2 linked regions of the Oryctolagus cuniculus genome follow. The protein of the gene in region 2 binds, or shares a complex with, the protein of the main gene of each other region. Links are inferred from orthologs where the notes say so. Each region holds a gene or a part of one and is shown on either strand. Other genes may lie near its edges. The genes, in order: POLR2D and ERCC2.

Evidence for each region.
Region 1: ERCC2 (region 2) and POLR2D share a complex: the UniProt entries of both Homo sapiens proteins name them as parts of the TBP-based Pol II pre-initiation complex. The link is inferred for Oryctolagus cuniculus from reciprocal best matches to the Homo sapiens genes ERCC2 and POLR2D.

What each region holds. Positions count from the first base shown.
Region 1 is NC_091434.1:121,247,625-121,251,891, forward strand, and holds the start of POLR2D (DNA-directed RNA polymerase II subunit RPB4), read left to right. Parts: upstream 1-1,452; 5' UTR 1,453-1,541; coding exon 1,542-1,614; intron 1,615-4,267. UniProt on the Homo sapiens protein: Core component of RNA polymerase II (Pol II), a DNA-dependent RNA polymerase which synthesizes mRNA precursors and many functional non-coding RNAs using the four ribonucleoside triphosphates as substrates.
Region 2 is NC_091449.1:11,481,809-11,485,607, reverse strand, and holds part of ERCC2 (general transcription and DNA repair factor IIH helicase subunit XPD), read right to left. Parts: intron 3,674-3,799; coding exon 3,557-3,673; intron 3,477-3,556; coding exon 3,360-3,476; intron 3,220-3,359; coding exon 3,096-3,219; intron 2,986-3,095; coding exon 2,889-2,985; intron 2,704-2,888; coding exon 2,570-2,703; intron 2,490-2,569; coding exon 2,321-2,489; intron 1,523-2,320; coding exon 1,404-1,522; intron 1-1,403. UniProt on the Homo sapiens protein: ATP-dependent 5'-3' DNA helicase. Component of the general transcription and DNA repair factor IIH (TFIIH) core complex, not absolutely essential for minimal transcription in vitro.

The sequences.
Region 1 (4,267 bases), on a different chromosome or scaffold from region 2:
TGGTGTGGAAGGTTAAGCTTCTGCCTACAGTGCTGGCATCCCATATGGGTGTCAATTCGGGTTCTGGCTGCTCCACTTCAGATCCAGCTTCCTGCTAATATGCCTGGGAAAGCAGTGGAAGATGGCCCAAGTCCCTGGGCCCCTGCACCCACGGGGGAGACCCGGAAGAAGCTCCTGGCTTCAGATTGGTGCAGCTCCAGCTGTTGTGGCCATCTGGGGAGTGATCCAGTGGATGGATGAGCTCTCTCTCTCTGTATCTCTGCCTTTTGAATAAATAATTTTTTTTAAAGTAATACAGAGAGAAACAGAGTTACACACAGAGAGAAGGAGAGGCAGAGAGAGACTTGGGCCATCTTCTACTTCTTTCCCAGGCCATAGCAGAGAGCTGGATTGGAAGTAGATCGGCTGAGACTCAAACAGGCGGCGGCCCTACCCGCTACACCACAGCAACGGCCCCTCAAATAAATCTTAAAAAAAAAATGAATTCATAATAAAGATACCATAACTAGATAAAATAAATTCTTCTTTTTTTTTTTTTTTTTTTTTTGACAGGCAGAGTGGACAGTGAGAGTGAGAGAGACAGAGAGAAAGTTCTTCCTTTTTACCGTTGGTTCACCCTCCAATGGCCGCCACGGCCGGCGTGCTATGGCCAGCGCATCGCGCTGATCCGAAGCCAGGAGCCAGGTGCCTCTCCTGGTCTGCCATGCGGGTGCAGGGCCCAAGCACTTGGGCCATCCTCCACTGCACTCCCTGGCCACAGCAGAGGGCTGGCCTGGAAGAGGAGAACCCGGGGGGCCAGATAAAATAAATTCATAAAACACAAAACGGGCCGGCGCCGCGGCTCACTAGGCTAATCCTCCGCCTTGCAGCGCCGGCACCCCGGGTTCTAGTCCCGGTCAGGGCACCGGATTCTGTCCCGGCTGCCCCTCTCTGCCCAGCTCTCTGCTGGCACCTGGCTCCTGGCTTCGGATCAACTCCAGCCGTAGCGGCCATAAATGGGGTGAACCAACGGAAGGAAGACCTTTCTCTCTCTCTCTCTCACTGTCCACTCTGCCTGTCAAAAAAAAAAAAAAAAAAAAAAAAAAAAGCCCACAAAAGCATGGTCTCTCATTGGCATAATTTTCCAGGAACCATCCTAATGTCCCCATAGGTGGGTTAAAGGCCTCTGGACATCACTGTCCACACTCTCAAAAAGAGTAGATAATTCACTGCAAGGCAGTCAAATGTTTGACTGCTAACATCATTGGAAGAAATCCTACCGTAGGCTTTCGGGGTCATCTGCCCAGCTTTCCATGACCCGCCAGTCCCTGCATGAGTAGTCCCTTAGCGTGCCAGCGCATTCCACCTTTTCTCGGTCCAGAAAGACCCAGTAACCCCGCGGAAAACCAAAGCAGAGCCAGGGCCGCTTCTTCCGGGGCCCCGCCCCGCCCCGCCCCATCTCCTAGCCCCGCCCCGGGTCCCGCCCCATCGTGGCCAGGCTAGCGGCTCGCGGCTCGGCGCTTCCGCTTCCGGTGCTGTCTGTGGCGGCGCGCGAGACAGCTATGGCGGCCGGTGGCGTTGATCCGCGGGCTGGCGACGTCGAGGAGGACGCTTCACAGCTCATCTTTCCCAAAGGTGAGGTGAGGTGATGCGGGGCTATCTCTAATCATCGGTCGCTTCTCGCTGAATTCCTGGCCTCAGCGGACGGCCGGGGTCCATCCCGGCGCGGCGTGGAGCTGGGGGAAGGGGGACCCTGGCCCTGGAAGGATCCTGGTCGGGCACCGGCGGACCCTGGCGTCGCGGCTTCCACGCTCCCATCCCTGGAATGCTCGGCGCCCACTGGCATTTGCCCCTGCCGGGCCTCCTGCTGCCTGTGTTAGGTGCACTAGTGTCTTTTACCCGGGAACAGACTGCCATCTGCTGCCTCGCAGGGTGCATACCAGCAGGAAGCTGGAATCAGCAGTGGAGCCAGAACCAAATCCAATATTGGATGCTGCACGGGACTTGGGTTTCCCAAAGTAGCATCTGAACCACGGTACCTTCGTTTTGTACTAGAGAGAAAAATGTATGGTGTAAGAAGACCACTCAAGGGGCTGCGCCGTGGCTCACTTGGTTAATCCTCTGCTGCGGCGCCGGCATCCATATGGGCACTGGGTTCTAGTCTCGGTTGCTCCTCTTCCAGTTCAGCTCTCTGCTGTGGCCCGGGAAGGCAGTGGAGGATGGCCCAGGTGATTGGGCCCTGCACCCGCGTCGGACACCAGGAAGAAGCACCTGGCTTCGGTCGGCGCAGCTCCAGCCGTGGCAGCCATTTAGGGGGTGAACCAACGGAAGGAAGACCTTTCTCTCTCTCTCACTCTGTCTCACTCTTATCTGTCAAATAAATTAAAAAAAAAAAAAAAAGACCACTTAAACAAGCCACTCGTAAACCATTAATGACTGTAGTGCAGGAACCTCAAGAGAATTTCCAGGTGACTTACTGACCAAAGAATCATTTTAAGTTATTTGTGACCGCCATTTTTAAAATAGCTGCACTGGGGCAACATGTAGGTCCCTGATTTCACCTAGAAAATAATGAGTTTAGCCTTAGGGAGAAATATTGAAGCCTTCCTCTCCATAGTGTTTTCTTTTTTTAGATTTATTTGTTTACTTGACAGAGTGAGAATGAGAGCAGGAGGGAGAGAGAGAGATCAGAATCGCTCTTTCATCCACTGGTTCACTCCCCAGAAGGTCATCATGGCTGGGGCTGGGTCAGGTTGAAGCCAGGAACCAGGAACCCTATCTGGTCTCCCACGTGGATGGCAGGGGGCCAGTCTGTTGAAGTAGAATCCTGGAAATGTTTCTCAGGGGCTTGGTGGTATCACACACTCTTTGCCTAAGCCACTCCAATCAGCCAGTTTGGCTTTTTCTTTCTCTTTTCTTTTGTTTGGGGGGGTGGGGTGGGGTGTATGTTGTGGAAAGGCAGAGAGACAGCTGCCATCCACTGATTGGTTCCCCAGATGCCCACAGTGGCAGAGCTGGGCTGGGTCACCAAGAGCTGGGACTGCAATAAAGGTCTCCCACATGGGCGGGAGGGACCCAACTGCTTGAACCATCAGTTCTGCCTCCCAGGGTCTGCGTTAGCAGGAAGTTATAAATCTGCAGCTGGAACCTGAACCCAGGTCCAGGTGTGCTCATGTGGGATGAAGGCATCTTCCCTGCTAGGGCAAACACATGCCCTTTCCTTGACTGAAGAAAGTGAGGGTAGTGTGTAAGTAGTACTTGGGCATTGCCTTAGTGAGGAATGGGAATGAATGACTAGTCTCTGCTGTCCTGACATTCCATTCCCATTACTTTTGTTGTTAAATTAATTTATTTGGGAGCTGGCGCTGTGGGGCAGTGGGTTAATGCCCTGGCCTGAAGCATCGGCATCCCATATGGGCGCCGGTTCGAGACCTGGCTTCTCCACATTCCATCCAGCTCTCTGCTATGGCCTGGGAAAACAGTGGGAAAACATGGCCCAGGTCCTTGTGCCCTGTGCCCATGTGGGAGACCGGGGAGAAGCTCCTGGTTCTTGGCTTTGGATCGGCACAGCTCCGGCTGTTGCAGCCATCTGGGGAGTGAACCAGCGGATGGAAGACCTCTCTCTCTCTCTTCTCTCTCTGCCTCTCTTCTCTCTGTGTAACTCTGACTTTCAATTAAAATAAAAATCTTTAAAAAAATTAATTTATTTGAAAAGCAGAGTGACAGAGACAGGAGAGACATCTTGTGTTCCCTGTCCTCCCCCAGATGGCTGCAACAGCCAGAGCTGGGCCAGGCTAAAGCCAGGAGCCAAGAACTCCATCCGTGTCTCCCGTGTGGGTGGCACGAATTCAAATAGTTGAGCCATCACCCAGGTGCATTAGCAGGGAGCTGGCTTGGAAGTGGAGTAGCTGGCAGTCTGATTTGGGATGCTGGCTCCAAGCAATGGCTTAGTCTGCTGTGCTGCAAGTGCCAACCCTATCCCATTGCATTCACAAATAGATGTGGCTTAGTGCAGAAGCAGAGGCTTCTCTAACTTTGTTTGATTTCCATTTATTTTTTAATGAAAATTTATTTATTTATTTGAAAGGCAAAGTTAGAGTGTGAGATCTTCCATCCACTGGTTTATTTCCCAGATGGCCGCAATGGCCGGAGCTGGGCCAGTCTGAAGCCAGGAGCTTCTTCCAGGTCTCCCATGTGGGTTCAGGGGCCCAAGGACTTTGGCCATCCTCTGCTGTTTTTCTCAGGCCATTCTCAGGGAGCTGGATCAGAAGCAGGAGCAGCTGGAACT
Region 2 (3,799 bases):
CACGCTCCTCTCAGGGTCCAGGATGGCCTGTGGGGCCCCTATGCCGACCCCCCTTCCTGGTTGCTCACAACTGCCTGCCTGACCCGGAAGCTCACTCCCCCAGGGCCTTTGCACACGCTGGCCCCTGGCCGAGGCAGCTCCACGGGTTGCTTGAGGCCTGACTCCGCCCAGAGCCCCCCGCGCCCTGTAGGCACCAGCGCTGGGGGTCCCGCCCACCAGCTTCCCCTCCAGCCAGGTCTCGGAAGGCAGTCTTGTGGCTCTGTTGCTTCCACAGTGCTGGGCCCAGCTCATTCGTTGAATGAACATATGAATTCACATATTTTCTCTTTATAAAAAAAAAAATAATCCAAGCCCCTGCCCTGGGCGCAGTGGTGCTCCAGGGTGGGCAGGGCTGGCACAGAGGAAGTCAGGGAGGGCTTCCTGGAGGAGGAGACGGCCAGGACTTGCTGCTGACCGGCCCTGGGGTGGGGTGACCGTCTCTGCCCCCTGCAGGACGTTGGGCCTGACCTGGTTTCTGCACAGGGCAGCAATTCCCAGGGATCAGACTGAGCCCTGGGTTGGTGTCGAGCGAAGGAAGGGGGCGGGGCCAATGGACGCAGCCTCTGGGTCACCCCGCCCAGGCTCCTCCGCTCCTGCCCCCCGCCCTGCCAGAAGCCTCTTCCTCGGGCACAAAGCCGACCCAGCACCTCCCTCACTCGGAACCTGCCATGGCTCCCCAGTGCCACAGGGCGCACGGCCACCAAGTCCTGACCACGCTGCATGGTGTGGGCGACCCCACAGGGCTCACCCTCCCCCGGCCAGAGGGGCCAGGAGACACAGGCCTGAGCACCAGGCTCACTCCCAGGCTGTCCGAGCAGGCAGCCACGCCCTCGGGACACCCACACCCTGTCCAAGTGCCTCCTCATGCGCACCCCAGGAGGCAGCAGGCGGTGACTCCAGCACTCGGGGGCGCCCTGGACCCGCTCTGCCTTTCCAACGAGAATTAAGACAAAAAAGGCAGGCGGGACCCAGTGTGGTGCAGCGGGTAAAGCCACTGCCTGTAGTGCCGGCTTCCCATACAGCGCTGGTTCGAGCCCCCGCTGCTCCACCTCCGACCCAACTCCCTGCCAATGTGCCAGGGAAAGCAGTGGAGGATGGGCCAAGTGCCGGGCCCCTGCACCCGCGTGGGAGACCAGGAGGAAGCTCCCGGCTCCTGGCCCAGCCCTGGCTGTTGTGGTCATCTAGGGATGGAACCAGCAGATGGAAGCCCTCTCTCTCTCCCTCTTCTCTGTCACTCTTTCAATACATAAATAAAAATCTCAGGCAACCGCCTGTGGCTCTGTGGTGCCTCTGAAAGGAGCCCAGGCCCGAGGCCACGAGGGTCCAAGCCCAGGGCCCGGCCGCGGCGGCGGAGGGGAGCTCACCCTTGGCGTAGGTGCTGACGAGCGTGGCGAAGTTGGCGAGGAGGGTGAGGGGGGAGAAGTCGGCCAGGTCGGCGATCTCCAGGGTGTGCAGCAGGGAGCGCAGGCGCTCAGCGCAGAACCTGGGGGGCAGCGGAGGGGGCCGCTGGGGCGGAGCCAGCAGCGGACCAGGGGCCCCGCCCACCTGCCTCGCGGGTGAGTGGCCGCTCCTGCCTTTGTCCCACACAGGGCAGCTGCACACAGCCGCCGCCAGGGCCCTGCCCGACACGGGCTCACGCAGCCTCTGCACAGCCCCTCGGGCGCGCACGGGGCATCACAGCCCCCCCCCGCCCCCCCCCCCCCCCGCAGAGCACACACCGATCAAAGTCCAAAAGGCGACCACAGCGCTGGGCCCCTGCTGAGGCCAGGCTGGCCGGAGGCTGGCGCCAGGCGGGCAGCGGGACCTTAAAGTCCGCCTCCAGGGCTCTCCAGGGCTCACCTCTTGCAGCCTGGTTCCTCCCACCTCCTCCAGCCCATCACCATCGGGAGACGCCCAGAGGCGCCATGGGCTGTCTCAGCCACCGCTGGGTCCCCAGCCCGGAGCAGGCACGCGGGAACAGGTGCTGAGTGATCCAGACCCGCTCTCTGTCCTCACGAGCCCCCTGCCTGGCCGGGGGAGGTGAGCAAAACCGCCCAGGGCTGCCCCCTGCAGAGGGTTCGGTCAGAGCCCCGCGTCCTCACCCACAGCACTGGGACGCGACCGAGACCTGGGACGGATGGTTAGAGCCCCAAGGCCAGAGAGTGGCGGTGCCTCCCACCCGCCCCAGAGAAAGTGCGGCCAGAGGCCCAGGACCCACCCACAGCCAGGGAAAAGCCCGGGAGATGAAGGCACTGGCCACGCAGCAGGCCCCGCCCACGCCCGCCCCGCCCCGCCCACGCACCGGAGCGGCTTGCGCTGGATGCACACGCGCTGGGCCAGGCTGCTCAGGAAGGCGGGCGGGCTCTCCTGCACCACGTGCTGCACGCGCAGGCGCCACTTGACGAACTCCAGCAGCCTCCGCAGGAAGCCCAGGAAGTGCTCGGCCGTGCGGATGGAGCCGGGCACGGCCTCTGCGGGGAGCGGGGAGCGGGGCGGGGGTCAGCGGGGGCCGCCGGGGCCGCGGCGAGGCCACGCAGCCGCAGGGCCTCACCTTGCAGCACCTCGTCCGGCAGCACGGGGTTGGCCAGGTGGGCGTCAGTCTCCCGGGCCACGCTGGCCTCCCGCAGCCCCTCCACCAGGCGCCGGTACTCGTCCCGCAAGCGCTGCTCGTCCGTCTCCTTGATCCTGCAGGGACGCGGGTGCCGGGGCACTGTGACAGGGCCGGGCGTCCGGGGTCTGCTGGGGCGGGGGCGGGGGCTGGGGCTGGGGCAGGGGCAGGGCTGGAGCAGGGCAGAGGCAGGGGCTAGGCAGGGGCGGGCCTGGGGCAGGGGCAGGGGCAGGGCTGGGCAGGGTCCGCCCACCGCACCCACCTCTGCACCGTCTTCTGCAGCGTCTCCAGGTTGCCCTGGCAGCGGTCCAGGGTGCGGCGCGTGAGGTTGACGCTCATGGAGTCGATGCAGACGTTGTCTGTGGGGAGCAAGGCGAGGGGCGGGCTCAGCGCGGCTCCGGCGGGGGGGGGGGGCGGGGGCGTGTGCGCGTGCGTGCTGGCGTCACCGCCGGCCCGGCTCCGTCCTCACCGATGTTGTGGGCCTCATCAAAGACCACCACGGCCTTGCGGGCCAGCTCCTTGGACACCAGGTCGGCGATCTTGGGGTCCAGGAGGTAGTGGTAGCTGTAGACCACCACGTTGGCGTGCAGGATCTGGGGCCGGGAGCCAGCGTCAGCTGGGCCTCGGGGCCTCCTCGCTCCCTCCCAGGCAGAGAGGCCAGATCCGAGCCCCCACACGCAGGGGCGGCCGGGTGCTACCCGCCGCCCCTGCGCCTGCCCCGCCGGCCCCTCACCGAGTACCGGGCGAGGAAGTAGGGGCACCAGCCCTGGCGCTGCCCCAGGGCCTTCAGGTCATCCAGGTTGTAGATGCCGGCGGGGAGGGGCACCTGGCGCCCATGGGCATCGAACTCCTGGTGGGCGAGAGGGGCGGGGTCAGGGGTGTGGCCGCCCGGCTGTCCTGGCCTGCCCGCCTCAGGCCGAGCCCCGGCACCTCGTAGAAGCGGCAGTGGGGCCGGCTGGCGTCCTGCTGGTACTGCGCCCGAATGTAGGAGGCCGTGAGGCTGTGGCACTTCCCATCAACGTCCTTTCCGAAGCGCAGCGGCGTCACCTGGGGCGGGGGACATGGAGGCGCTGAGTGGCCCCTCCACGAAGCCGGCCTCCACGCCCCGCAGGGGCAGGCTGGGTTCTGGACAACCCGAGCCGCACCCCCACACACAGCTGGGAGAGCCCGGGC